Linked DNA regions of Ovis aries. The protein of the gene in region 2 purifies or fractionates together with the protein of the main gene of each other region. This does not show direct contact. Links are inferred from orthologs where the notes say so. Each region holds a gene or a part of one and is shown on either strand. Other genes may lie near its edges. The genes, in order: NIPBL, SMC3, WAPL, PDS5B, USP13 and REC8.

Evidence for each region.
Region 1: the proteins of SMC3 (region 2) and NIPBL purify together in Homo sapiens (affinity purification with western blotting; 4 studies listed by BioGRID, with this or other methods). This does not show direct contact. The link is inferred for Ovis aries from reciprocal best matches to the Homo sapiens genes SMC3 and NIPBL.
Region 3: the proteins of SMC3 (region 2) and WAPL purify together in Homo sapiens (affinity purification with mass spectrometry; 7 studies listed by BioGRID and IntAct, with this or other methods). This does not show direct contact. The link is inferred for Ovis aries from reciprocal best matches to the Homo sapiens genes SMC3 and WAPL.
Region 4: the proteins of SMC3 (region 2) and PDS5B purify together in Homo sapiens (co-immunoprecipitation; 7 studies listed by BioGRID and IntAct, with this or other methods). This does not show direct contact. The link is inferred for Ovis aries from reciprocal best matches to the Homo sapiens genes SMC3 and PDS5B.
Region 5: the proteins of SMC3 (region 2) and USP13 purify together in Homo sapiens (affinity purification with mass spectrometry; 4 studies listed by BioGRID and IntAct, with this or other methods). This does not show direct contact. The link is inferred for Ovis aries from reciprocal best matches to the Homo sapiens genes SMC3 and USP13.
Region 6: the proteins of SMC3 (region 2) and REC8 purify together in Homo sapiens (affinity purification with mass spectrometry; 3 studies listed by BioGRID and IntAct, with this or other methods). This does not show direct contact. The link is inferred for Ovis aries from reciprocal best matches to the Homo sapiens genes SMC3 and REC8.

Annotation. Positions count from the first base shown.
Region 1 is NC_056069.1:37,368,459-37,371,958, reverse strand, and holds part of NIPBL (nipped-B-like protein), read left to right. Parts: intron 1-221; coding exon 222-304; intron 305-897; coding exon 898-1,030; intron 1,031-2,004; coding exon 2,005-2,148; intron 2,149-3,500. UniProt on the Homo sapiens protein: Plays an important role in the loading of the cohesin complex on to DNA. Forms a heterodimeric complex (also known as cohesin loading complex) with MAU2/SCC4 which mediates the loading of the cohesin complex onto chromatin.
Region 2 is NC_056075.1:30,667,136-30,670,635, forward strand, and holds part of SMC3 (structural maintenance of chromosomes protein 3), read left to right. Parts: intron 1-219; coding exon 220-395; intron 396-913; coding exon 914-994; intron 995-1,219; coding exon 1,220-1,384; intron 1,385-1,722; coding exon 1,723-1,844; intron 1,845-2,923; coding exon 2,924-3,137; intron 3,138-3,500. UniProt on the Homo sapiens protein: Central component of cohesin, a complex required for chromosome cohesion during the cell cycle. The cohesin complex may form a large proteinaceous ring within which sister chromatids can be trapped.
Region 3 is NC_056078.1:40,192,479-40,195,978, forward strand, and holds part of WAPL (wings apart-like protein homolog), read right to left. Parts: intron 3,445-3,500; coding exon 3,237-3,444; intron 2,170-3,236; coding exon 2,081-2,169; intron 1-2,080. UniProt on the Homo sapiens protein: Regulator of sister chromatid cohesion in mitosis which negatively regulates cohesin association with chromatin. Involved in both sister chromatid cohesion during interphase and sister-chromatid resolution during early stages of mitosis.
Region 4 is NC_056063.1:28,619,824-28,623,323, reverse strand, and holds part of PDS5B (sister chromatid cohesion protein PDS5 homolog B), read left to right. Parts: intron 1-2,801; coding exon 2,802-3,241; intron 3,242-3,331; coding exon 3,332-3,442; coding exon of another isoform or gene 3,443-3,446; intron 3,447-3,500. UniProt on the Homo sapiens protein: Regulator of sister chromatid cohesion in mitosis which may stabilize cohesin complex association with chromatin. May couple sister chromatid cohesion during mitosis to DNA replication.
Region 5 is NC_056054.1:208,250,952-208,254,947, reverse strand, and holds the start of USP13 (ubiquitin carboxyl-terminal hydrolase 13), read left to right. Parts: upstream 1-1,196; 5' UTR 1,197-1,241; coding exon 1,242-1,409; intron 1,410-3,996. UniProt on the Homo sapiens protein: Deubiquitinase that mediates deubiquitination of target proteins such as BECN1, MITF, SKP2 and USP10 and is involved in various processes such as autophagy, endoplasmic reticulum-associated degradation (ERAD), cell cycle progression or DNA damage response.
Region 6 is NC_056060.1:20,795,450-20,799,376, reverse strand, and holds the start of REC8 (meiotic recombination protein REC8 homolog), read left to right. Parts: upstream 1-1,127; 5' UTR 1,128-1,518; coding exon 1,519-1,535; intron 1,536-1,619; coding exon 1,620-1,740; intron 1,741-2,463; coding exon 2,464-2,548; intron 2,549-2,868; coding exon 2,869-2,939; intron 2,940-3,150; coding exon 3,151-3,422; intron 3,423-3,499; coding exon 3,500-3,591; intron 3,592-3,745; coding exon 3,746-3,798; intron 3,799-3,927. UniProt on the Homo sapiens protein: Required during meiosis for separation of sister chromatids and homologous chromosomes.

The DNA.
Region 1 (3,500 bases), on a different chromosome or scaffold from region 2:
GTGCACAGGCTTCGTGGCATGTGGGATCTTTCCAGATCAGGGATTGAACCTGTGTCCCCTACATTGACAGGCAGATTCTTATCCACTGTACCACCAGGGAAGTTCATAAAGTTTTAGTGTTTAATTGTGTTGCCCTTATAGTCAGTAATAACATGGTAGTAGCAACTGAAATAATTTGTTTGTTGGTTATTTCTTATGTCCATCCATTTTTCTCAATCTAGGTTGACCAAGATGTTGTCATTACCAATTCTTATGAAACAGCCATGCGGACAGCCCAAAACTTCCTTTCCATCTTCCTTAAAAAGTGAGTAAAATTAACATAATCTGATTTTTCTTTTCCCCATGGAGAGAATAGTTTTCTTTTATGTAAAAGATTAATTGAACTTCCTTCCATAGTCTAAACCCTGACTATATCTCCCTGACTCCTGATATCCTTATCTTTTAAAATGAGGCGGTTGGAATATTATAAAATCTAAAGTTTCATGAACTTTCTTGTGTGTTGAACTCTAGAAGCTAAAGTACAAGATTGAAATTCTTTAATTTTTCATTGAATTTTCAGACGTTCTGGTTGAACAGGAAAGTTTAGGGATAGAGGTTTACTTAGTTTTCAGAAGAACTTATAGTAATCTCATAGAAAAACAGTGATCATTATTTAAAGTGTATTATGCTTGCCAGAAAGTAATGTTAATATTAGTCAGTAAATGAATTTAATTTCCTGTAGTAGGGGGGAAAATGAAGCTTGAGAAATAGATTCATTTTAAACCATATTTTATTTAATGTGCTCTGTTACACCTTGTTTAGATATATAAGTCGAGAAACTTAGTTAACAGAATTTCAGTCATATTGGTGAACATGTCACCTAAACTCACAGCTTTTTCATTATTTATCTTTGAACAGATGTGGTAGTAAGCAAGGTGAAGAAGATTACAGACCACTATTTGAAAATTTTGTTCAAGACCTTCTTTCAACAGTCAATAAGCCTGAATGGCCAGCTGCTGAACTACTCCTTAGTTTGTTAGGGAGACTGTTGGTAAGAGTATAGCATTTAAAGATTATTAGATTACTAGAAGACAACATAATGAGGATGTACTCTGATTCACAGATGATGAATTCTTTAAAAATGTGTAAGGAAATATGACCATTGCATCTCTATTTTTGCATGTATTACTGTACATAATACTGTCGGTACCTTGTATAAAATTTTGAAATGTTGTGACTTTTGGTGCTTTCATTTCATTACATAAGATAACAGTGCTTTAAAAAACTTATTTTATTTGTTTGAAAGTATTATTAGTTAAAAGCATCTCAACACAGAGTCATGTTATTATAGTTAATTCATTTCAAAGCATGAAACTGATTAATATGAACTCTGTCATCTTTAAGAGGACTTCTAAAAACGTGACACATTTTAGTCCTCATGTAATACCGTAAGGGAAATAAATACAAGGAACTGCTGTTGTGATTTTTATTTTTAAATTACATTTGGACTCGTGTAGTTGTTACAGAGCTTTGGGAACCTTACTTTCTGTCAGTTGGAAAATACATTAATACTATTCTGAAACCAAGATATTTTTAATAGACTTTGAAATTCCAGTCTAAGAAGTTCTTAGTTATAATCCCATTTTATACAGTTGAGCCTACATTTAAAGAAAGTGACTGTGTTCTTAGGAAGACTTAGTTATAATTTTTTTTTCTTTTTAATGAAAATGTTAAAATTCTGGAAACTCAAAAGGCAATTAATGGGAGTTCCATGGTGGCCTAGTGGTTAATATTCTGGGTTTTACTGCCATGGCCCACGTTTAGTCAATGGTCAGGGAACTGAGATCCTGCAAGGTGCAGGATGCGGCCAAAAAAATAAAACAAAAAATTTTTAAAGGGTAATTACTTTGTGGGACAATATGACGGGGAAAAAATGTTTAAATTTCAAGTAAAACAGCATAGATATGGAATTTATATAAACTGCTATTAAAAATATTTTAAGTTAAAATTATTTTTCATATGCAGGTTCATCAGTTCAGTAACAAGTCAACAGAGATGGCTTTAAGAGTGGCATCTCTTGATTACCTTGGAACTGTTGCTGCACGACTGAGGAAAGATGCTGTTACAAGCAAAATGGATCAAGGGTCTATAGAACGAATTTTAAAACAGGTATTGAGATAAAGAATTTATGTTATGGGGATAAGTCATAAATAGTTAAGAACTTTTTAAGGTATTCTTACGTTAGTGTTGGATTTCATTCTGTAGATTCAGAATAAAATCATGTGAAAGTGCCACAGAGAAAATATATACCTTAGGATGAATTCTGTATAACAGGAACTTTCAAATGATTTATATAATCCTTAGTTAAGTTTTGTGTGTGTGTGTGAACTTCTGTTATGAATGTATGATACTAGTTTCTATTTGGTTTAACAATACTTTTATTTTAAATTGTGGAGGAGTTGATAGTAATACTAAGATAACTTAAGAAAATTGACAGGTAAATGATATGTGTAGGCTTAGTCACTCAGTCGTATCCAACTTGTGACCCTATGGACTGTAGCCCGCCAGGCTGCTGTGTTCATGAGGATTCTCCAGGCACGAATACTGGAGTGGGTTGCCATGCCCCCTTCCAGGGGATCTTCCTAAGCCAGGGATCGAACCCAGGTCTCCCACACTGTAGGAGGATTCTTTATCATCTCAGCCACCAAGTAGCCCAAATGATCTGTAATCCTACCATGTAAAGCTTTTTTCATTTTCTTTATACTCTTTTTTATTTTTTTAATGTCCATAACCATATCCATGCTGGCCATGACAAATGCCTCTAACTTACAGAAAAGTTTTAAGCATAGCACAAAAAGCTCCCACAAATCTTTCATCCAGATTTCTTTAGTGGTTAGCATTTGCTTTATTATTCTCTTTTAGAATATACATACATATGTGTTTGTATATTCATTTTTATTTTCTTCTGAAGCATTTTGAGCAGACAGGATGTCACCATTACCCTAGAATTTCAAAATGTGATTCCCTGGACAAGCAGCACCAACTTTTATATTACCTAGGAACTTGTTAGAAATGCAGATTCTCAGGAGTCTCCCAAGAATTACTGAGTCAGGTATACACAACTATATTTAAAATGGATAACCAACAAAGCCCCACTGTGTACTACAGAAACTTCTGCTCAGTGTTAATGTGGCAGCCTATATGGAAGGGTAGTTTGGGCAGAAATGGATACGTTTATATGTAGGCTGAGTCCTTTTGCTGTCTCCCTGACCTTGCCACAATACTGTTAAATCAGCTATACTCCAATATAAAATTGAAAATTTAAAGAAGAAAAATCTACACCTCAGATGCAACTAAATAAAACCATTCTGAATATATCCATTTCACTACACTCTCAGAACACAGGTTATTCTCATCTTTGTTTTCTGCTTAGATATATAATCTAAACCATATATTTGGCGTTTCACACAGGTAAAACCAGAGTATAAGCTATAGACATTAATGTCAACTCAGAGTTAATT
Region 2 (3,500 bases):
ATATAAGAATCAGTGTCACCATGTATAAGTTTATTCTCTCATACTTTCCATAATAAAGCATTTTAATTGCCATTTTAGTATCTTAGATTTGGTTACCACCTAATGTCAAAGAAGTAATGCTAAAGTGCTTAAGATTAAGTTTTACACAGTATATTTGAGAATTGATACTGCCTAAAAGTTTTATTCAACTCCTTCATCCTTCTCCCATTTTTTTTTAAGAGGGAAAACGGGAAAAAATCAATGAGTTGTTAAAATACATTGAAGAGAGATTACATACCTTAGAGGAAGAAAAGGAAGAACTAGCTCAGTATCAAAAGTGGGATAAGATGAGACGAGCCCTGGAATATACCATTTACAATCAGGAACTTAACGAGACTCGTGCTAAACTTGATGAGGTAAAATACTTACCTTTGCCACTTGTTTAATTTTATTTTTATGAATATATTAAACTCATACTGTATTTATACTTTTCAATGATTTTTAAATACATACCTCAAAAATGTTAAAATTTCTTAGTGAATTTATTACTCAGCACATTTACTCTTTGAGTCTACTCCAAGGAAAATGACTCACATGGTCCTTGCTGTAGTTGCATCTGAAATATAATTAGGTGGTGGTGTCAGGCAGACCAGGATGAGAAGAAAACAACTTTTAGGGTTTCACGAATTTCTTTCTTGGCTTTTTAAGGTGTATTTTGTAATTAGTATTGCTAACATTTTGTACAAAAACTTGTTTTAGGTAATGCTGAAAACTATAGGCATTTTCTATTTAAACCCAATACAGTTATTTTGGGGGAAATTTTTTTTTAAGTGAATGCTTGTTTTAGCAGATACTTAAAGATTTTTACTAGATGTTATAAAATATTGAACAAATCCAAAATGGGTTGGAAATCATAGCTTGGTTTTTTTTCCAGCTTTCTGCTAAGCGAGAGACAAGTGGAGAAAAATCCAGACAATTAAGAGATGCTCAGCAGGATGCAAGAGATAAGATGGAGGTAAGGTTATAAACTAGACTTAGGTTAACTTCTAAGTTAACCTTTCTGTACCAGAATTATGGAATGGTAACTTCAAGTAGTGGTGTCACTGGGATTGAGTATTGGAAAGAGAGTAGTACTGAAAGTTTAAATAAGAGAAAAAGAAGAGACAAACCAATGATGTCCTGATTTTGCTTTTGTATTTCTAGTTGTCTAATTTGTTTCTATTTGATACTTTTTGAATAGGATATTGAGCGCCAAGTTAGAGAACTGAAAACAAAAATTTCAGCTATGAAAGAAGAAAAGGAACAGCTCAGTGCTGAAAGACAGGAACAAATTAAGCAGAGAACTAAATTGGAGCTTAAAGCCAAGGATTTACAAGATGAATTGGCAGGCAATAGTGAACAGAGGGTAAGTTAAAATGCTGAAAATGAAAGACATAAATGTTCAGGTGATTGGAAACTGCAGAGGACAATCCTTTCTGTGACAGGGGTGCATGCTTGAAGGACAGTCCTTTCTGTGACAGGGGTACATGCTTGAATTTTTGTAAAAAATTTGGCACATTAAAATTAATTTGCATTCAAGTTGCAACTGAGTACTTTCAGTTACTTACATTTAAAAATTAGTTTTATGTTGCAGGATCAGTTTTCTCATAAATTCTTTTCATGAGAAAATATCCTATGCTGGATTTAAAAATAAGAAAAGTTTTTAAACAGATTACATTTTTACTTATCTTGCTTTATTTACAGAAACGCTTATTAAAAGAAAGGCAGAAGCTGCTTGAAAAAATAGAAGAAAAGCAGAAAGAACTGGCAGAAACAGAACCTAAATTCAACAGTGTAAAAGAAAAAGAAGAGCGAGGAATTGCTAGGTCTGGGACTTTTTTCACCAATTCTAATTTTCTGTGTGGTTCCTCTATAGAACCTTATTATATAAAGAATTATAGGTTAGGAAGTTAGTAATTAAGGGCAAAGTTAAATGCCCATTTCAAAGTAACAGCCAGTACTGTGGGCCAGTATTAGTGTATGCATATTGCCTATTTAGAAGCCCTAGGTGATCCACAGTATCTTCACTATAAGTTTGACAAATTTAAGGCTCTGGGAAGTTCAGTAACTTGCCCATAATAATATAGCTAAAATTTGGACTTTGTTTACCCAAATTGTATCCTGCTGTGTGTTCATTCTGCCACCTTCTTTTCATACTTGACATCTTTTAACATCTATACGTTTTAGTTTCTGTCTGTAGATTGGACTTGCCAGTGTTTGCCGACTTCACAATTTAGTACATTATCGTGTTTTTATGCCTCATGTTCATTTTAATGAAATTCCTGTTTATATCCTTTGTCCATTTTTTTCCTGATTTTATTTTTTCTTACTGTTCGATAGTATTGTTTTATGTTATCTGGGGGTTAATATTTGTCCTGTATGTTTTATGTGTTTTCTCTTGCCTTTTAACTTTTATAATGTCTTTCATTGTAAGGTGTTGAAAATGTTTAAATAATTAAATATAGTTGGAGCATTTTTGAAAATCCTGAGGTAGGGTGCTAGATTTGTCTAGGTTTAGTGATTAACCCAGACCAGGAAGGACCTTAAATCCTTAGAGGATGGGCTGTTTTACCTGAATTTCACAGTGATTTTGAAGTTAAATTAATGTTAAATAGAGCTAGTCCTAGAAGCACTATTAGATAATAGTTGCTTTTTATACTTAATTCCTTTTTTTTTTCCCCATGTGGGTTGTGGGGTCTTAGTGCCCTGGCTGTCAAACCCAGGCCCTCGGCAGTGAGAGCACACAGTCCTAAACACTGGACCACCAGGGAATTCTCCTTCTTTCCTTCTTGTATGGAATTACAAAAATGGTTATTGTCTCTCTGTACTCTTGAGGTATTGATTGCAATTAAACTTGGTTATTTCCTGTTCTCCTTTTTAATCCATTCTTTTCTGTCTTGTGTAGATTGGCCCAAGCTACCCAGGAAAGAACCGACCTTTATGCAAAGCAGGGTCGAGGAAGCCAGTTTACATCAAAAGAAGAAAGGGATAAGTGGATTAAAAAGGAACTCAAGTCTTTAGATCAAGCTATTAACGACAAGAAAAGACAGATTGCCGCTATACACAAGGATTTGGAGGACACTGAGGCAAATAAAGAGAAAAATCTGGAGCAGTATAATGTAAGAACTTCTGTAGCTGCTTTGTGAAATCTTTGAGTGTGAACATATGCAGGTTTATCTGTTTAAGTTTTATTTGTAAATAGTTTATCATAAAATACACAAGACAGATACTTAATTAGATAAGACCAGCACAGTTTAATATACATATGGTGGTTCTTTTTTTAAAGATTTTTTGCCATGTCAGTGAGTGTCATATAGATTAAATAAATTTAAAATATATTTTTTATGAGTCAGCAACATGTACTTGGACTTTACAGTTAACTTTAAGTGATATCATACAAATCTAAAATGACTATAGTAATTTAAAATATTTCCATTTTTATATAATAATGTAATATTGTATCAATGTAATAACTTACTGCA
Region 3 (3,500 bases), on a different chromosome or scaffold from region 2:
AGCTATCATTTCCTAAATGACAGTGAGTCAAGAAAGACTGGCGGGTTGGAGGGTTAACATGATCAGATGTGCTCTTAAGGAAGTTAGCTATGGTGGTGGTATGCAGGATTTCAGGAAAGGAGAGTTGAGAAAAGCAAGAACAGAAAGGCCACAGAGAAGACTGACCATTAAAACACACCAGATGCCTACCGGGCAATGGAAAGTGACACCAGGGTCTCCTGGGCTTCCTAGGCATGCTGTGCTTTACCTTAGAACAGCCCTTACTGCACATAACCACCTGATTCTCGTCTTTCCTCCACTTAAACACTGGGCAAACCAATGTCTTTTACATTTTGTGGCATCAGCTAGCTTTTCAGGGTTAATCATAATGACCCCTAAGGTAAGAAAGACATCCTGGGCTCTATAAATTCACAGTATTGTCTACAACCTAACCTCTCGAGACATGAGAGACAAATAATTCACATCTGAAAAAAACTCAATTTTCAGATTACTTAAGAACACAACTGAAACCAGGGTGTATGCAAAATATGTAAAAATCTTTAAATAGCATACCCACTCTTTTTTGGGGGGTGGGGGTGGGGTGTGCTTTCCTCCTCCTTTTTGCTTGGTATGTGCTTCCCATTTGCCCTTAAAATCTCTGAATTTTAAGGAAATAAGGACAAGGGCTGAGCTTGAAGACAGTCCAGGAAAGGAAATAAAGATTTGTGGGGCCTCTAGCACCATGGTAAGAACTCTGGTCTTGATCCTGAAAGCAGTTGTGCCAGCAAGGGCCAGCAACGAAGTGGGCCAGTATGCACTCAGCTCAGAGCCTTTCTACAATATGGAATAAATGAACAAGAAAGATCCAGAAAAACACACTGGACTTAAGACAAATAAGGTACACAGGAAGAACAAAAATGACAATGGATAAAACTTGATGGCAAAAATGAGGAAATGTGGGTGGGCAGACAGAAGCCCTTCATATCATGATTACGTTCTTTTCTTCTAGCCCTCTAGTCTTAAGAAAAGAGAAACTAGCCATCCCACTATACAACAGGTCTCCATTCTTTCTTGCATCCTGAATGCCCTTGCTTGTAGGGGGAAAAAACCCACCTCTCTTTTATTTTAAAATTTCTCTCTTCTACTGGGCCTCTCTGTTAAAAAAATAAATTTAAAAAAATCCCACGTGTCCTCCATTTTAAAGCAGACTGTTCAAACAGTGAGAAATGTCCACTTCTGTGCTGATTCAGCCCAACTGTGTACACATTCACATCCTTTTCGTAAAGTGAAAGTGAAGTCGCTCAGTCGTGTCCAACTCTTTGTGACCCTATGGACTGTAGCCCACCAGGCTCCTCTGTCCATGGGTTTCTCTAGGCAAGGATACTGGAATGGGTTGCCATTTCTTTCTCCAGGGGATCTTCCCAACCCAGGGATCGAACCCAGGTCTCCTGCATTGCAGGCAGACAGTATACCCTCTGAGCCACCAGGGAGAGCCATGATTTTTCATAGTTAACTCATGATCTAAATCTCACATAGTAATCCCATTTTCCTGGCCAATGAGTCATCAAACAAAAGCATGTGAGCCAATCTTGGCCAAGGTAAAGGAAGTCGACTTTCTGCATTGGGTGTGGAAAAGTCCTAGGGAAAAGAAATCATTGCTCTTTAAACAAAGAGAAACAAACAGGCCACATTCTTCTGCTGGGCACTATTTAACTAGGTGAGACACAGAGTCAGCATAGGTGCATGAAGAAAGCTAGCAAAAGACAACACGCAGAGGAGAGCAGAGTTTAAAGGTAGAAATTATGAGTCCTTGGTATCACTGAGGCGAACCTTTTCCACCTTAAGCCAGCTGAGCACAGGTCTCATATGGTGCTTTTACTTCAACCAAAGACATATAAGTTGATTCCTCTATCAATCTGGAACTTTCTCATCGAAACCAATATACTCTTACTTTGAAATGTACCTTCTAAAGTTCACCAAATATTTGAAAGTTTTTAACAGGAGGGAAAAATAAAGTAACAAGTTAATTAAGTAACGATGTGAAGTGGCTGCAGTGAAATTCTTATAGGATAACATAAAACAACACAGAACTCTTACTTACTGGACTCTCCTGGCAGAGACACCCAAGAAGCAGTGCGGTGTATGAGGCCACAATGCAATCCTCCATGTGTTTGCCAGCATGTTGAAGGGCTGAAAGTATTAAAACAGAAAACTAATAGTGCATGTGCATATATATATAAACCAAAAACTACAACAACAAAAGCACCTAGGAAACCAGCAACTGTGTCATCTTTACTTCAAAACTGCTAAACGTTGATAATGGTGCTGCTGCTGCTGCTGCTGCTAAGTCACTTCAGTCATGTCCGACTCTGTGCGACCCCATAGACGGGAGCCCACTAGGCTCCCCCATCCCTGGGATTCTCTAGGCAAGAACACTGGAGTGAGTTTCCATTTCCTTCTCCAATGCATGAAAGTGAAAAGTGAAAGTGAAGTCGCTCAGTCGTGTCCGACTCTTTGCAACCCCATGGACTACAGCCTACCAGGCTCCTCCGCCCATGGGATTTTCCAAGAAAGAATACTGGAGTTGGGTGCCATCGCTTTCTCTGGATAATGGTGCTAGGAAGATGTAATATCCACACAAATTAACCAAAAAAAAAAACAAAAACAAAAACAAAACCCACAAATGGTAGAGGGAGCTTAATATAAAAGCTAAAACCATAAAACCCTTAGAAGAAAACAGAGGACTAAATATTTGTGCCCTTGGGTTAGGAAATGGTTTCTTAGACACACCACCAGGACCACAAAAGACAATATAAAAAATAGGTAAGTTAGACTTTATCAAATCTAAAGCTTCACCTTCAAGAAGACAACTCATAGAATTTATCTGCAAACCAGGTACTTGATAAGAATCGAGGCTCTAAAAATTCTACTCAATAACAACAAAAGATAACCCAATTTAAAATATGGGCAAAATATCAAAACTGTAAACACCCTTAGGAGTCATGTTACTTGGTTGCTTCTCTTCACAGACAGTAAAGAGAGGCCCAGGGAGGAAACACAGACCTTCCAACAGTACATACACGCCACTCTCACCGCTAGGTGAAGACTGCTACCAAACAGCAAAGCCTGTGTGCACTCAACCAGAGAGGCCATAAAACAGCAAGATTATGACCACACATGAAGTAAAAAAATGTTTTACAGGGGAAAAAACACACACACACATCTTTTAAAAAATAAAGCAGTCAAAGAAAACATACCTTTATTGAGGTCGAGTTCTTCATCATCCTCCTCCTTCTTGTTTTTCTCTTCTGCACCATCAGTCTTCTCGGTTGATACCCACTGTATTTCTCCACTTGTTTCTTGCCACTCTCCACTCTTATCATGCTGAGTGGTGGGCGCATCTTTGATCAATTCATCTGTTTTACTTTCTGCCAACTGTGCTGCTCGTTCTCGCTCAAGGAACAGCTGATAAACATTTTTGAAGGTCATTAAAAAGGGATCACCTACCAACATCAATGTAC
Region 4 (3,500 bases), on a different chromosome or scaffold from region 2:
GGGAAAATAGATTTATTTTACAGCAATAACTGTTACAGTGAAATTAGAGGGATCTAAACATAATCTTAAAAAGAAGTAGGAGGAACCTATATGGAGAAAACATTAAAACTGAGAAATATAGGAGAGAGAGAGGACATGCCATATTCTTTCATGGGATAAATGAATTTTTAAAAAATGACAGTTCTGAGTGAAAATATCATTGTAAAATCCCAGTGTGATTTTAAGTCCACGGTGAAGAATGTTGTTTAGCTGCCAAGTTGTGTCCAACTCTTTGTGACACCATGGCCTATAGCCCCACCTTCCCCCCACACCCCCTCCGCCCAGTCTCCTCTGTCCGTGGGATTTCCCAGGATTTCCAATATTCCCAAGAATACTGGAGTGGGTTTTCCTTTCCTTCTCGGGATCTTCCCAGACTAGATATCAAACCTGTGTCTTCCTGCATTAGCAGGTGTATTTTACCACTGAGTCACCAAGGAAGCTCAAGGTAGAATAAATGGATGCAAAGAAGGAGTAATGATAAAATCAGCCCAACCAAACACAAACATACTTAGTTATAATTAGTAAAATACCATGCTTTTGTTGCATAGTATTTTACTAATACCTAGAAGCATTACTGTCTTTGAAAAATAATACAAAGTAAAGGAAGCATAATACATCATTGAAGTGATTAGATGTGTCTTTGGCAGTGGGAGTAGGTAAAACAGTTTAGAACCTCAACTCACATCCTATTCTAAAACAAGATATGATAATGTGTTAGTCTGTTCATAACAATACACCATAGACTGGAAGGTTTGAACAACACAAATTTTCTCATATTTCTGGAGGTTGGAATGTCCAAGATCAAAGTGTGGGCCAGTCCAGTTGCTGATGGGATCTCTGTTCCTGGTTTGCAGATGGCTACCCTGGGTTCGATCCCTGGGTTGGGAAGACCCTCTGAAGTAGGAAATGGCAACCCACTCCAGTATTCCTGCCTGGAAAATGACATGGACAGACCAGTGTGGCGGGTTACTGTCCATGTGGTCACAATGAGTTGGGCATGACTGAAGACACGTACACACACCCTCACACACCCTCCCTTCTTACTGTGTTCTTACCAGTGGTAAGAGGATATGAGTTTGGGCAAACTCCTGGAGATGGTGAAGGACAGGGAATCCCAGTGTGCTGCTTTTCACAGGGTCACAAAGAGTCGGACATGACTGAGCAACTGAACAACAACAAGCTGGTGGAGAGAGAGAGACAGTGAGATCTCTCTGGTGTCTCTTTTCCTAAGGACACTTATCCCATCATGAGGGCCCCACCCTCATGACTTTAGAATTACCTCCCAAAGACCCCATATCCAAAGAATATCAGAATACTTCAGCTTGTGAATTTTGTGGGAACACAATTCAGTTCACAACAAACAGGAATATTTGTTTGTTATACACGAAATACACATGAAAGTGTAGAATATTGTAGATTAAAACTCAGACTCCAGTAAACAGACAAGGGGCATAATTAGGCAGTTCACAGATAGGAAACACAAATGACTAATTAAACGTGAAGAATTATAAGTAATCTGATAATTTTTGTAGTCACTGATGTTTTAAGAATGTAAATTGGAACAAACCATTTGGAAATTAACTTAGTACTACAAACATGGCTCAGATGGTAAAGTGTCTGTCTACGATGCAGGAGACCCGGGTTCGATCCCTGGGTCAGGAAGATCCACTGGAGAAGGTAATGGCAACCCACTCCAGTACTATTGCCTGGAAAATCCCATGAACAGGGTAGCCTGGTAGGCTACAGTCCATGGGGTCGCAAAGAGTCGAACACGACTGAGCAACTTCACTTCACTTCTTCAAACCTATGGAGAAAATTACAAAGTCATGCATACTCTTCCTTGTTTCTTTGAAGAATTTCTTTAAAGAATCGCCATCTACGAGTCAAGGCTTAAATTCTGTGACTGTAGACTGGGATTTTATGTTAAATTTGGAAGTCACTGATTTTTGTATTGTTGTATCTGGGAAAAAGCAATATCTTTGATTCAGAAATGTTTTCAGAATTTTTAATAAATGATGAATATGTTTAACTTTGTATCTTACAACCTCCACTTTTGAAATAAAATAGTTCTTTTATGATGTGTATGCATTATGCATTACCTAGTTAATATTTATGTCTTATTATATACACTGAGTGGTAAAATTAGGATTACTTAAATTGACTGTCAAATGCAGATGCACTATACTCAGTGTAGTTGTCTATTATTTAAGCATTGAATTTGGCTTTTTTTCTTTTTTTTTAGTAGACCAGATGGATTTTTTTTTAAGAAAATATATTGATTTTATTACTGAAACAGTATAGACATTTGTGAAATATTTGAAAGTAAGTTGCCAATTAAAACTTGGTAGAGACAGCAGATACTAATAAGAACTGCAATTCTTCATAATGAGTACTGAACTATGACTCCTTTTAAGTGTTGAATTTAGAATGTTCTTTTTAATGGACTAGCTCTTCATCAAAAATTTATCATCTATTCATCTACTGAGAGGTTTCATCTGAGGCTCTTTAGCTAGAGTAAGAATAAAAATTTACCCTCTTACCCCCAGATTATGTTTTATATTAGAAAATTGTTAATAAAAGCAAGTAGGTAGTTATGGTTCCGACATGCTTAAAACCTCTAGACCTTATTAGGTACATTCTTATAACTGAAGTAGATAACAGATTTTGTTCATTTGTTTATTCTTGAACATATACACACACACACACACACACAAATAATGTATACTAAGTTTTATATTTGAAATCGTGGCTTTTATTCCTAGTCTGAATTGGACAAACCTAGAAGCCGGAAAAAGACACCTGTAACAGATTCAGAAGAGAAATTAGGCATGGATGACCTTTCCAAGTTGGTACAGGAACAGAAACCTAAAGGCAGTCAGCGTGGACGAAAGAGAGGCCATACAGCTTCAGAGTCAGACGAACAGCAGTGGCCTGAGGAAAAGAGGCTCAAAGAAGATATACTAGAAAATGAGGATGAACAGAACAGTCCACCAAAAAAAGGTAAACGAGGCCGACCACCAAAACCTCTTGGTGGGGGTACACCCAAAGAAGAGCCAACGATGAAAACATCCAAAAAAGGAAGCAAAAAAAAATCTGGACCTTCAACAGCAGAAGAGGAGGAGGAAGAAGAAAGACAAAGTGGAAACACAGAGCAGAAGTCAAAAAGTAAACAGCACCGGCCTTCAAGGAGAGCACAGCAGAGGTAAGTGTGTGCCACTCTGAACTGCATGCATTCAGTTATTGTACTGTAAATCATAACTTGATGCTGTCTGCATCTGGGTCTTTCCCAAAGCAGAGCAGAGTCTCCAGAAACTAGTGCAGTTGAATCCACACAGTCCACACCACAGAAAGGACGAGGAAGACCATCAAAAACACCATCACCATCACAACCCCCCAAAAATGTGTAAGTTGTAAATAATATTAAGTTTCAAACCAGTTTCAAATTATTTTGCAAGAGTTCA
Region 5 (3,996 bases), on a different chromosome or scaffold from region 2:
GTTTTCTACAGTGGCTCTGCCAACTTATATTCCCACCAACAGTGCAGGAGAGGTCCCTTTTCTCCACACCCTCTCCAGCATTTGTGTTTGTAGACTTTTTAATGATGGTCATTCTGACCCTCTGTGAAGGGGTACCTCATTGTAGTCTTGATTTGCATAAAAATCAGTGTATTGAGTCACTTTTTCTGTTTCACTAACTGGTCGGTGTCACTGGTATCCTGCTCCTTAGATTAGATGTAGTTAGAGAAGCTCAGTGGAACTGACCTCATGTTCTGAGTTTCTTTCTTTCTTCTTTTTTTTTTTAAAGAAAATAAGAGTATGCTGTGACAAATTTTCTGTTTTTGCAGATTATTAAATCACCTCCCACCCCAACCTATTCCCATTTATTATTTAAGGAACTGGACATGCAAAGGCAGGGAGGAAGTATGTATGCAGTAAGATCCCAAATCAGTCAACTGAAATGGTTCATGCAGAGAAGACTTTCCAAAGATAGAGAAAAATATACCTTCCCCCAAATAATCCTGATACTCTCCCCCACTCGGAAGAAAAGTCAGTATTACTGGAAAAATATACATTTATCCTTACTTAATCTTACTCTATTCTCTTTCAAAGAGCTTTAGATCTTAAAAACTTGAGGAGCAAGTCTTAGATTAACATCGGAGTGCCAAAAACAAATTTAGATTTGGGCCCCACTTTAGGTTCTAGAGTCCCACCCCTATCCAATCAGGGTACGTCCCCGCTGTTACCCTGGTTGTTTAAAAGCTAGCGGTTTAAAAAATCTCAAATCCTGCCCTTTGTTGGCTGCCTCGGAGGTTCCCCTTCGCAGAGCAGCGATTTAGGATAGAAAACACGGCGGTGGTGCTCCACCGCAGCCGGCCCCGGAGCCTGCGCACCCAGGACTCGCCCTCCGCCTCGGCCGCCAAGCCCGGCCAGGGCCCCAGGCCCCTCTCCAGTGCCCCCTCCCCGCGCGCTGCGGCGGGTGCTCCCGAGCGCCCCGCCTGACGCTGCAGCTGGGCCGGCGATTCGCCATTGGATTAAAAATAGCAGCGTCCCCTTCAGCAGCCAGCCCGCCCGCCAGCCCAGGCCCGGGGTGCCCGCTCCCGCCCCGCGGCCGGCTCTCCCCGCCCGTCCCGGCTCGGCTCCAGCAGCCCGCGCAGCCCGCCGCCGCCGCCGCCGCCGCCGCCGCGGAGGTGGGCAGACCCAGCGCCCCGCTCGGCTCGGCTCGAGTGCGCGCCGCGGCCATGCAGCGCCGGGGCGCCCTGTTCGGCGTGCCGGGCGGCAGCGGCAGCAGGAAGATGGCTGCAGGAGACATCGGCGAGCTGCTCGTGCCCCACATGCCCACGATCCGCGTGCCCCGGTCCGGGGACAGGGTCTACAAGAACGAGTGCGCCTTCTCCTACGACTCCCCGGTAAGTGAGACCCGGCGGCAGGACGGCGTCTCGCGGGAGGCTGCGGTGCCCGCGGCCTGCGGCCGTCGCGAGTCGCCGAACTCGGCCGCACGTGAAGCGCGGTGGGGGGGGGGGGGGGGGGAGATGCGCGGCGGCAGCCGGGGGCCGGCTCCTCCGGGCCTCAGAGTTGCCTCAGGGGCACGGCAGTTGGGCAAACACTGGAGGAGTGCCTGCTGGGTGCCCGGCGGCGCAGGCTTCCCCAGGGCTGCTGCAGCCGAAGCCCGGGACGGCCGGGGTCGTTTGCTCCGCCGCCTTCTTAGGCTGCCAGGACCCCAGTTCCTAGCAGCGGTTCCAAAGCCCCGCCGCCGTTTGAGAGAGAGAGCGAGTCGAAGCGTTCCCTAATCTTAACTGTGCGTTGCAGATGGTTTGCGTCCTCTTTGGGAGGAGCACGGAGGGCAGGTGGGCGGACGAGGTTGATTCACTCCGGATGTACGCAGCCCTTCTCTTTCTGGGACCGTTCGCTTTGCCCAGGGATTCCCACTCCTGGACAGTTCTGCTTTCCTCTCTGAGCTTTCCTCTCTCCACTTTAAATTACTCCCCACTCCTTTTCTTTCCGTCAGAACATCGGAAGAAACCGTCGGCTGCTTCCACTGGGGCAGCAGAAATAGAGGGTCTGCTGGATTGTTAACGGTTTCCTGAATCCTTTCTCTTTCCCTCCTAAACGAGTCGCTTTGACTGAAATGCACCAGTATAAATGATTAAAAGTTCAATCGCTAGTCGTGACCTCAGAGACTGGCGGGGAAAGTCGAGACGCACCACCGCCTTTCACCCGGCGCTGTTGGTGTGTTTTCCACCAGGTTGTATGTGTATGTGTGAGAAGGAAAAAGGAGGGTGGATTGTCCTTTTCGGGAGTCAAAATGGGCTTCAAAGTGACTCAGCTGTCTGGCGTTTATCATGTCTTTTTGAGGACCAGGTTATTTTTATCCACCCACTTTAGAGCTCATGTGTCACTCGGCAGATCTCGATGCAAAAGGGAGGTTTCTGGATTGGAGGCACCGAGGCAGGTTTCACAACAATAGTCTAACACAGTTTATTCATATTATGTTTTGTTGGAGGGGGAAAAAAAGCCAGATAAATGGCACCTGTTCCAAAGTATCCTTATTATCTTGAGTTGCTTTCAGCTGATTTCCAAAGCTTTTTTGTTTTGTACACAGTGGAGTTGCAGAACTTATCCTTTCTGCGCTATTTTTCTTTTATGCTAATAACAGATCGTTTGGGAGATAAAAGTCTCATTTATTTGCTCATTACTTTCTTTTCTTTTAAAAAGGTGTGCAGTGTGAAGTGAAATGGCTATATTTATTACTTAGCGGCTTGTAATCACAACTTAATGTGTCTGTCAGCAGTGTCATTGTATCCACAAAGTATCTGAAAACGTCATGTCCAGATTTTGTGTCTAGTGTTGAGCAGGTTTCCACTAATAGCTTCTAAAGCTGGAGAGGAATGATCCTACTTAACTTAAGCAATCGAAGATTGTGAATGCCATTGGGAGAGTAGCCCAAGTATTTTAGGATAATACATCATGTAAAGTGGGTAAAACTGCTTTCTCTTTGTTTAACCTGGGTTACTCTTCAGATTCTTCTTGCAAACTTTGTTATTGAAAGTCTTTGCCGTGTTTTATAGTGTATGGTAGGAGTGAAGAAAAAAAGCTGATTATTTTACTCACTTTCACAAATAGTTATTGGAAGGTTCAGTTCAGTTCAGTTCAGTCGCTCAGTCGTGTCCGACTCTCTGCAACCCCATGAATCGCAGCACGCCAGGCCTCCCTGTCCATCACCAACACCCGGAGTTCACTCAGACTCACATCCATCGAGTCCGTGATGCCATCCAGCCATCTCATCCTCTCTCGTCCCCTTCTCCTCCTGCCCTCAATCCCTCCCAGCATCAGAGTCTTTTCCAGTGAGTCAACTCTTCACATGAGGTGGCCAAAGTACTGGAGTTTCAGCTTCAGCATCATTCCTTCCAAAGAAATCCCAGGGCTGATCTTCAGAATGGACTGGTTGGATCTCCTTGCAGTCCAAGGGACTCTCAAGAGTCTTCTCCAACACCACAGTTCAAAAGCATCAGTTCTTTGGTGCTCAGCTTAGTGTGTGCCAAACACTATTCTAGAAGTATTTTGTCCAGTGTAAACTGATTTCATTCATGTCACAGTAGTTCCTTGGGGAAGACTGGGCTTGTTTACAAGGCTGATGAATCAGTATATTTCTTTATGTTTCAAGGGAGGAAGAGCGAGAAGATTTTATAACAAGTTATATTAAAGTACAGTGCATGATAATTCAAGATCTTTCCCTATGGTACTTATTTAACACTTCATCATGAATCTCATAAGGGTTCTAGAGCACCTACTATGTGCCAGCTGTTACATTCATGGCTATAAGAACCATACAGAGCAAAATTCATTGGTGCCAAATAGCAGACTTTAATCCACAAGTGCAGTAGGACTGTGGTAGAGAAAGGACCAAAATCATCTGAGTGGAAACAATAGCCATCCTTGCATTGGATACTTTTGAAAATGGTCATAAATAAGGATGGTTAGAAATAAATAAAACAA
Region 6 (3,927 bases), on a different chromosome or scaffold from region 2:
GCTGGGCATAAAAGTAGACCAACCACTCGCTGCACTGTGGGATTCGGAAAAAGGGTAAGGTCTAACTGCAAGTCAGGCGCCCTAAACAGGGCCCGACGATTGCCCTTGGCATGACGCAACCTCCTCCTCTAGTTGAAGCACCTTGTTGCCAGGCTCGGTGCTCGGAGTCTCCGCCCTACTCATTGGTCCATGGGGAAACACTCCCGAGGTACCCCTGTTACCCGGCGAGGATGAGAGCCCATTGGTCCAGACCCCTCACAATCCCTCCCCCCTCCCCCCACCACCTGCAGGGTTCGTCCCATTGGTTCGCTGCCTGCCTCGGGAGCCCCCTGTTGCCTGGACTAGGCTACGTAGCGCCCCCGAACAAGCGCCCCCAAGTTGACCCTGTTCCCCATTGGCTGCTCTGGAGAGCGCGCCATCTAATGAGGAGTAAAGCGCAAAGCACCAGAGCACGCGCTCCCCGCGGCGGGATCTGGGCTGCAGGAGCGGGACCGGCAGCAGCCGAAGCTGCGCAACAGTCAGCTGCCGGGCCTATCTGCAGAGGACAACCCTTTCTCCCTCGGACCTGGCCTGGGTTGTAGCTTGGACGGTCTTCCTTCGCGAATCTTTGCATCTCCAACCTGGAATCCAACCTGCAAGGCTCCCGTAAGTTCAAAGCACCTACATGGTGTGCAGACTGGCTCAGGGCTCACGTGTATCCAGTCTGTGTCTCCATTTACTTATCCCCTTAATCATTTATCCACCCATAGTTCATTGGTTCCTGTATTTGGCATTCTGGTCCACACTACCGGTCCACATCCTTCTCTCCAACGGTTTGGGAAATTCTGTACCCTGAAGAATTTGGATTGAGATCTGAACAGAAGTGGTGTAGACGAGGGTAAAACCCTGGAGGGACCATGTTCTATTATCCCAATGTGCTTCAGCGCCACACCGGCTGCTTCGCCACCATCTGGTAAGGGCGGGCCTGGCCAGGGTAGGTGCTCTGGGAGGGACACCCAGGGGTCCCAACCTGAGGGCTCCCCCTGCATCTACACCTCTCATTCTTCTTCCAGGCTGGCAGCGACGCGGGGCTGCCGGTTGGTGAAGCGCGAATACCTGAAGGTGAATGTGGTGAAGACCTGGTAAGACCCAGGAAAGAGTGGCGCAGGGCTGGGGTGGGTTAGGGGATGCATTGGGCTGGGCAAGGCTGTAGGTCTTTGGCGCAGCGGTGTTGGGGTGCATTGTTCCCCCAGCGAGGAAATCCTCAATTACGTGCTGGTGCGAGTTCAGCCCCCGCTGCCGGGCGCACCGCGGCCCCGCTTCTCGCTCTACCTCTCAGCGCAGCTCCAGATTGGCGTCATCCGCGTCTACTCTCAACAATGCCAGTACCTTGTAGGTAAGGCTGGAAGGCCTGGATGTAGGGCAGTGCCGAGTGGTCCTCCTCTGGGCGGGCACTGTAGCTTGCCCTCCCTCACCGCAGAAGACATCCAGCACATCCTGGAGCGCCTGCACCGGGCGCAGCTGCAGATCCGCATTGATATGGTGGAGACTGACCTGTGAGTGCATCCCTGGGGCTGGGACCACCCGGTCTTTGGAAGGGAACTTGGCCTCAGTCCTTGACAGCCCACTGCCTCCCTCAGACCCAGCCTGCTGCTGCCTGACCACCTGGCCAGAATGGAGACTCTGGAAGATGCTCCAGACCCCTTTTTTGGGATGATGTCTGTGGATCCCATGCTGCCGGATCCCTTTGATATCCCTCAGGTAGGTCTCCTCCCCGTCGGACAGCTCAGACTGATGAGCTGACAGTACAGAGGGGGGTGCTCTTTCTGCGCCAGTCTAGCACCAGGGTTGAGGGGTGCAGGTGGGGGCCTGCTCCAGCTCTGCCCCACAGGAGTCAGGGCAGGGCAGCTGTCATGGTGGGCCTATCCAGACAAGCCTGCTGCACTTACCTATTCAGGACCAACCTAGAGGTGGCTTTTGTCTTCACACCATCCCTAGAGCCGAGGCCCCAGTCCAGGCCCTCTGTGTCCCTCGGCACTGGGTTTTCCATGTCCCTGTCCATCCACTCCTAACACCCCTACAGCTTAGACAAGCTTCTGTTGAAGTGTAGTTGATTTACAGCATTGTGCTAGTTTCAGCAGCACAGCATTCTTTGTGCTGGCTTTTGCTGGGGTCAAACACAAACTTGTCTCCCCACTAGACAGTATCCTCAAGGATCTTTAGTTTCCTCTGTCCCTGACAAGACTTGACCCCAGGATGCAGTACTTCTTTCACAAAGTGACCCAGGCTAGATGATTGGGCGGGGGCAGGAAATGGGAGGAAGGGGAGCTGGATGGTGAGTGGGTTCACCCTGCATGCTGCTGTTAGTGCCACAGGATTAGGCATAAAGGGGTGTCACTGTCCATTGTCTGGATAAGGTTGTGAAAGTGGGGGAGCAGGGCACTGAAGCTGAATCTGGTCTTTTGTTCCCATCCCTTCCCAAAGGTTCGACACCTTCTAGAGGCCGTGACCCTGGAGAGAGTTCCTGAAGAGATCCCTCCTGAAGTGCCCGCAGAGCTTCGGGAGCCAGGTGAGCAGAGACCCTTCTGGTGAGAGGCAGACCAACTCCCAAAGGCTGAAGAAATAACTGTTTTTGAGCTTCTTTCAGGAGCAAGGCCTTGGGAGGGGCACTACAAGATTCTTACGAGATTGGAATTATTATGCCCATTTTACAGATGAGGAAAGTGAAGCCCATAGTGGTTAAGCAATGTGCCTTGGGTCAGACTGCCAGTGACTGGCCAGGGCCTGACTAGAACCCAGGTTGGCTTGACTCTAGAGTCTGTTTTTGCTTTACACACATGGGTGTGGGGACTTGAAACAGAGGCTGGTGTGACTTCCCTCCCCCTCCAGAAAGGATTCGGGTCACCCCCGAAGCCATCACGATCCAGGAGGCGGAGCCCATACGTATGCTGCGGATCGAGGTGAGCTGCCCCCTGCACACAGAGCCCAAGGCCGAGTCCTGCGTCTGATGGCCCAGGCCCCCTGTACCTGCTCCTTCTGCCCCTAGAGTCCTGCCTTCTTGCCTCCGTTTCTCTACCCCTTCCCCCGATGCCCGAGTACCCACAGGCTTCCTCAGCCTGGCCTGGCCCTGCGGCATGTCTCTCAGACAGAAATGGTCACCTCTCCTGACAGGGTGAACTGGACCTCCCAGAAGTCAGCCGCCGTGTCTTGGACCTGCTGATTGCTGAGGAGGATGAAGGCATCTTGTTAGAGGAACGTCGGCTAGGTAGGACCCACCTGGCAGTGGACGGTCAGACCCCAGGCGCTGGCCATCTGGGCCGGGCAATGTTCACACCTCTTCTGTGTTCTAAGCTTGATCCTCTCTTCGCAGAATTCAGAGAGGAGCCCCGGGCCCCAGAGGGGGAGATCACAGTTCCCCCACCCTCACCTTCAGCTCTTGTAGGGTAAGGGGAGGAGCCCCAGGCCAGGTAGGGGTCAGCGCTGGGAGGGTATTTTCATCCTCTTGCCCATTTCCCTTCAGGGTGGAGGAGGCAGCAGAGCCACTTCCCAGCCAGGTCCTGGCCCCGGAGGAGCTGAAGCCGGTAGGGTGGGAGCCAGAGGTCCCACTTCCTGGTGAGTACCCACTAAACCGGGGTCTTTCCTCGGGGTCCCAGCACAGCTGCTGCAGACAACACCCTGTAATCCAGCTTGCTGAAGGGAGGACCCTCTAGCTTCTCACCTGGTTGGCTCTGAGGGCAAAGGGTGTGGACCTAGACTGTTGTTGCAGAGGTGACGCCCCCGCTGGAGCTGCGTCTGCCACCCGTCCCAGTCAGCCCTGAGGTGAGTGCTGCCCCTCCACACTGCCTCTGCCAGAGCTCCTCACCCATTTTCAGTCTCCTCAAGGCCCCTGCTGGCTTCCACAGGCCTTTGTGCAAGTTTGTACAAGGTAGCCTGGCCCACACCCTGCAC